Coturnix japonica: one gene and its partner. The protein of the gene in region 2 purifies or fractionates together with the protein of the main gene of each other region. This does not show direct contact. Links are inferred from orthologs where the notes say so. Each region holds a gene or a part of one and is shown on either strand. Other genes may lie near its edges.

Evidence for each region.
Region 1: the proteins of SRSF6 (region 2) and LARP7 purify together in Homo sapiens (affinity purification with mass spectrometry; 3 studies listed by BioGRID and IntAct, with this or other methods). This does not show direct contact. The link is inferred for Coturnix japonica from reciprocal best matches to the Homo sapiens genes SRSF6 and LARP7.

What each region holds. Positions count from the first base shown.
Region 1 is NC_029519.1:51,160,105-51,163,929, reverse strand, and holds part of LARP7 (la-related protein 7), read left to right. Parts: intron 1-255; coding exon 256-391; intron 392-2,979; coding exon 2,980-3,137; intron 3,138-3,825. UniProt on the Homo sapiens protein: RNA-binding protein that specifically binds distinct small nuclear RNA (snRNAs) and regulates their processing and function.
Region 2 is NC_029535.1:35,256-38,163, forward strand, and holds the end of SRSF6 (serine/arginine-rich splicing factor 6), read right to left. Parts: coding exon 2,904-2,908; intron 2,783-2,903; coding exon 2,425-2,782; 3' UTR 751-2,424; downstream 1-750. UniProt on the Homo sapiens protein: Plays a role in constitutive splicing and modulates the selection of alternative splice sites. Plays a role in the alternative splicing of MAPT/Tau exon 10. Binds to alternative exons of TNC pre-mRNA and promotes the expression of alternatively spliced TNC.

The DNA of each region.
Region 1 (3,825 bases), on a different chromosome or scaffold from region 2:
GTTAAAAATTCCAAAAGGATAAGGAAAAATGTTAGTAGAGATGGGATTCAAAGCTGCATTGCAGTGGCATTTGCATGTGCAAGAAGAATCCAGTATAGATCTAAGCTAGGCAAGTGGACTAGGGAATAAGTCCTAACTTGTTTATCTAATGGCTGCTGAGTGAAGAAAAATGTTGGGGGAGGGAAACTGCAGTTGTCTGCTTTAGCCATTTGTTTTGCCTCTATACCAGTTTTCTTTTGGGTTTTTAATTTTTAGATGTTCCTGTGGAAGATGATAAAGATGGTGATAAAAAAGACGCATCCTTTTCAAAATCTAAAAGAAAACACAAGAAAAAACACAAAGAAAGACACAAGATGGGTGAAGAAGTTATTCCACTCAGAGTACTCTCAAAGTAAGTTTAATATGTGGCTTACTACCAGTGTCTTTTGATTATGAGCAGGCAGTTTGTGATGGTGTAAGATGCCCAAGCCGAAGTGAGTTTTACTCACTGCTTGGGTTTCCTGTGGATTTAAAACCCCCCTTCCCAGTGTTGAAACTTGCAGGTTAAAATTATGCCTCATATTACTTATTTAGCTGTCTGTATTTGGTCGAGTCTTGGCCCTGGAAGTTATGTAGAAGTGGTAGTAGCCTTTTTGCCCAGTGAATGTGTTTGGGAGTACTGTAATTTTAAAACGTTCAGTTGCCATGAGGAGTTTCTGCGTAGGTTTAAAAAAAAAAAAAAAAAATGTGCATAGTTTCACGTTTTATTGAATGCCAACACACATTTTATATAAGTAATCTGTATATACAGCAGCTTGTACAAGGGTTTATACAAGGTTTATGCAAGAGTTTTTAGGTAATGCTTGTGGAATGAGAACTTAGTGTGCAATTCAAGTGTGCATTTCTGACAGTCCATCACCATTGCTAAAGTGCAATTCCAATTTTTATATCACAGAGTTGCATATTAGCAACAGTATTAGCCTGTAGTTGAGAAGTGGGAATGCCAGAATTCTACATCTGTTGGGTTTCAGGAGACACCACAACTAAAACATGGAAGCACTTACTTTTTCAGGTGTCCAGCAAGTACCTCCATGTTAAAGTAGAGGGGGTCCTTGCTGTCCGATTACTAGCTCTGCATACAAGACTGTGTGCAGTGCAAATACAGAAACAGGATGCAAAATAATCTTGACTAGAGATGTTGTGGTAGAAATATTATGAGGCCCCACACTCCCTCCCCCATAATACAGAAACCAAAAAGATCCATAAAGAAATTGTTCTTCTGCTCCAGTTTCCAGTTGAGAAGAAAGATTCACCATCACTAAAACATGGAAGCACTTTCTTTTTAGAACAAAGCAAGCACGTCCACATTTAAGTTGTGGGAAACCTTAAGTAGAGAGGCTGCACTTCTTTCTGTAAAACAAACTACAACAATTACTTTAACAACACAATTAAAAATCATGCAAGTAAATGATAGTTTAAAAAGCCGACATTGGTTATTTCAGCGCTGGGTGCATGCTAGGTGGAGATCTCCATGCACCCAGCGCTGCAATAAACCATGTCAGCGCTGCGTTGTAATGCTTGTCATTTTTCTAAGAGGAGAAAGAAATTAGGATCCACCACCACTGAAACATGGAAGCACTTACTTTTGTAGGCAGCAGGTACCTCCATGTTAAAGCGGAGGAAGTCCTTTAAAAAATCCTTCTGAACCTACAGACCATAAACTGTCTTGGTTTACGTCCTTAGCTGCTTTCGGCCAAAAGTCTCTTTGCTCAAGTCTTGTGGGGAGAAAATTCTTGACCAAAATAAGAACGAAGCCGTGGACAGCATTTCGGAATTGAGAACAGGATTCACCTCTACTAAAACATGGAAGCACTTACTTTTGTAAAATCACAGAAAGCACCTCCATGTTAAAGTAAAAGGGGTCCACACCAAAAAAAAAAAGTTATCCAACGGTGCTCGTCTTCTTCCTCCAGGATCCTGAGGACAAAGAAATAAGTTTTAAATTGAAGCGAAGCGCAAAAAAAAAAAAATCCGTAAGAGGATAAGCATTGTAAATACTTGCCTGCCTCATTCCCCACAGTCTCCTCTTCTTTGGAGACACGCTGACAAGCAACTCCTTGTGCTTGTATTTATACCATACCTCGCCATGGAATGGTGTTGCCTTTTTATCTCAACGAATCATTACGTGGGTCTTTTGTTATTTTAATGTCTTTGCTCTGTTGAGAATGTATGATCCTGGGTGAGTCTGGATGCTTTTTTTGAAGTATACAGTTGTCAGTGTTAACAGCTAAAACCATTACCACAAGATATCCTCCTCTTTAAAAATCCTCTATCAGCTTGTTTGATAGTACAGATTAGGGTAACAATGAGTCGTTCTCACAGTGGCACTATAGGCATTGTGTTTCTGTGGAGCAAAGCTCTGGCTGTTTGCAGAAACATCTCCATGTTAAATGTATGTAAATATATAAATTGCTTCCATGTGGTGGTATTTTTTAAGCAGAGTGCATTTGAATAGTGAGGAATGTTCTTATCTCAGTGGGTTTTTGGAGAGTTTAACCAGTTGTTGATTTTCGATCAATGATTTTTCTAGAAAGTAAATGACTTATTCTTAATATAGTGACACAAAGTGGTTTCACTGAACTAATTCGGTAAATTCAGAGTTCACTGTCTCTGAATTAACTCTGAATATAGAGTCTGTGAGCTCTGTAGTTCCAGTAGAAGAGAGTTTACCACTGTTGTTTTCTGAACGTGTAATGAATTTGAGTCACTCTACAAGTGAGGTTATTCTTGTTTTAACTTGCTTGAAATACTAAAAGCTAAAGCAAAATTAAAAATGCAGGTACTGACCAAGGTGAAAATGAGCAAACTGTGTGGGGACTTCTAATAAGAAAGATCTACATCACTTGCCAAGTTTAGTTTCAGCCATCATAGACAGATTTGTCTGAGTTTCTAAACCTTATTTCTGTGTTTACAACTGGTTTACCTGTCTTGCCTTTACAGGACTGAATGGATGGATTTGAAGCAAGAATATTTGGCTCTTCAAAAAGCCAGCATGGCCTCCTTAAAGAAAACAATGTCCCAAATCAAACCTGAGCCTGTGGGAGAGATGGAAACAAATAACTGTGCACCGAAAAATCTTCAGTCTAAAAATGGCAAATGTAACTGTTTGTTCTTCATTTTCTTTTTATATGGTTCAAGAATGCTTAAGTCACTGGTCCTCTAGAAATATAGAAAAAGAAAACTTATTTTCCTATACTGATGTTCTCTTTGAATGCCAAGCTTCTCTCATTTAAATTGGTTTAGTACTAAGGAATTTTATAAGCAAAAAGTGGTGCAAGAACAGTCCAGTTCCACTTCTTAAACGAGATTATTTTTTTTTTTAGGTAATTGTAATTTTAAAAGCCAGGGAGAAATAAGTCAAGAATGAGTTTTTTGATGTTGGCCTGTGTTGTTTAACCATCCCTTCTAAGGGCTACAAAACTGTTAATCTAAAGCATTCAGAAATGCCTTATAATGGGGTTTGATCAGGTTTATAGCTAGAAGTTAAGCTGCATATTCTTGGATCTACTAGTATATTTTTCTGAAATGGAATTGTTTCCTCCCATCCCCACCTCAGGATCCTCTTTCCTTTCCCATTTAGTGAATTGAATTGAATTCAATTGAAATTGAATTGAACTTCGATAACAGACTTGTCGTTTATTTTAAATCACTATAGATTCAGGATTTGGTTATTAACTGTGATGAATAGAAGAAAAAATATTCTAGGGTGCTTGTGAAGCTACGATTTTTTTTTCTTTTATGTTATTACATTAGAGAGGAATCTGGATCCACGATTTTAAAATATGT
Region 2 (2,908 bases):
GAGCACAAGAGGAAGGACCTTTCTGAGCTGGGGAAAAGGAATCCTCCTGTGGCATACTGACAATGGCAGGCAATGCAGATTACGTTAAGGCAAATAAAAATTACAAGTCAGCAAGAAGCCCTGAGTGATGGTGTGTTACTGGGTATCCCCATTGAGGTATAACAGCCAAAGTCAGTCCTCTCTGAGGGAATAGTTGCAGATGCTGCCACAGCTCCTACTTGAGCAGTGAATTATTTGCTGTTGTGCAGATCCAGAAATCTCAGCTAGTCCTGACCTGATATAGAATTAAGGCCATTCCTGACTACTGAGTGTTCAGCAGCTTCTCTACAAGGTTCCAATCCCCTTCCAAAGCTAAAGAGCATTCTGACTCACCCACAAGCACAAGCTCTCCTACTGTCTGTCAAGAGTTTCACACACATCAGACTGAGGTCTGATCTTGCTTTAAGACAGGCACTTAACATCACACGAACAGGAGCTGTGGTGGCAGGCAGATGGTTGGACTAGAAGACCTTGGGGGTCTTTTGGAACCTTAGTGATTCTGATTTGCACCAAAACAGCAACATTTAAGTAGAGGTAACTTAAAAACAAACAAAAGCAAACAAGGAAAGCCCAGGAAGAGACTCCAAAGACATGCACCATGATTCTCACATCTCACAGGGAGCAATGCTGATTTCTCCTTCAAAATTTGCTGGAAGACAAAACATTTTAAATCATTCCGACACATCTGATGACACGTGTTTACCATTCAACTTCTTTTAAGAACAAGTTTATGTTGCATTATATCAAATGCAGAAAGTCAGCATGCCTAACACACACACAGATCCCTGAAACATCAGGTTAAAAGCTTAGTGACACCAAATGCTTTTGCCATTAACTGTTCCTATTACATGTAGTGCTCTTGTGTAATTTTAAGGGAATAAGATCTTTCCAGTCGTGTATCTTTGAACCATCCAGCTTCTGGTGAAGTCTCCAGTAAATACCCATAATTGAAGAGAAATTATTATGAGCAGCTCTTCCATGCTTGGGATGGACACAACATGGATAATAGTAATAAATCTTCTGCCACCACAAAACATACAATGAAATCATTTCAGTTCCGGTTTCACCAGGATATGTGCTTACTGGTCAAGTTGGATTTTGAAGGCTCCCAACTTCTGTGCTAAATAAAGAATAGTAGTTAATCAAGGAAAAGCTTTAAACAAGATAAACGGTGATCTCCTCAGCACAAGGAGACAAAAATAATTCCATTGCAAGCCAACAAAACACAGGAGTTTGATTCACCAATTTAATTTTATACAAGTCAAACTACACATTGTATAAAGAGTACAAGGCAGTTCTAATGTTGCATGTTACAAAAATCAATTTAGCTATAAAGGGGAGATTTTAGGATGAGTTCTATTTCACAGTTTAAGTGAATTGGCAACTGTGGTTTAGCAAAGCCTTCATTAAGACTAGAACTCTAGCTTGAAGAGATTACGCTTCCGGTAAAGTTCAGGTTCAAACACAATACGATCTTAGTTCTAAAGTAGAATGTTAACATAAATGAGTCTAAAGAGAGCAAAGACAGTTTTGTTTTAGATAGTTTTCATATCCAATAGGTATTTCAAGGCTGACAAATCATACAACATACTAGAGGACTTCAACTACATCCAAGAGACACTTTAGTGTCTGAGAACTGCCACTTGATAGTCAAGCAAAAAAAAACATCACTAAGCTTTCATTCTTTTAAGTCTCAAAAGTATGATTTGTAGCAATACTGCATGACACAGGTTATAGAGTACCTTTATTACCTTTAATACAGTCACAGTATTGGGGAGGAATGTTCTTTTGGCAAGTTCAGATGCAACACAAATGCTCCAACGTGAGTTTATTGCTGGTCTAGCCTTTCTAGTTTAGTTTCTTGCTTACAGCTTTGCAGCAGGCTTCCACAAATAAACCAGACAATTCTGATCTGCCCTGCAAGACGATCTTGCCTTTGGCAGCAAGCTGTAAACCTACTACGCCAATGATACTCATAGTTCTAAAACCTTGGGGGGGTGGGAGGGAGGAAAAGAAGCCCAGATTTAAGCCTGTTATATTCAATTTGTAATATAAAAACCACTTTGCACTTTAGAGCAGTTAAGTTACTCCAGCAGAAATGCTATAAAATCAAAGTTCTAGCTGAATGTCTAAAAAATAAAAATTAAAAAAAAAGGGGGGGGGGGGGGGGAGGGAGACTTTTCCTGCTTTGTACCACACCATCTGATCTTGTATTTTCAAATTTAGAATACAAATTAAAGCTTTATGCCTCATTAATTAGTTCTTAGGCCATTCAATCCTGCAAGAGAAAAAAACAACTTCTGAAGAACTAACATGACACTAATGGCCTGACAAGTAGGAAAAATGTTCCATAATAGTGTGCAAGGTAAGAGGAGAGTTCTAGCCTTAATCTCTTGAACTAGATCTTGATCGTGAACGAGACTTTGAACGAGATCTGGAACGGGACCTCGATGCAGCTCTTTTGGGTGGTGACTCTGAACGAGCCTTGGCAGATGGCTGCTGCTGTGGAGAATTGGAACGAGACCTACTCCTTGACCTGGATTTAGACTTAGTATCTCCTTTACCATTCTCTTTGGGAGATCGAGACCTGGACCTGGACCGAGACTTCTCTGACTTCTCCTTAGATCTGCTGTGAGAGCGCGAACCCCTGTCAGACTTGGGTTTTGATTTGCTCTTTGATCTAGACTTCCGGCTTTTAGATCTGGAACGTGAGCGGTCTTTGCTTCGTGACCTGGATTTAGATCTTCCAAAGAGAAAGACAGTTTATTCTGCATGAACTGAAACGTACTTATAGCCATTTTCAGTTGTTAGCAATTAATAAGTAGCAACCCTCTTGTACTAGGAGAAAGCAATGGATAACTTACCTGGA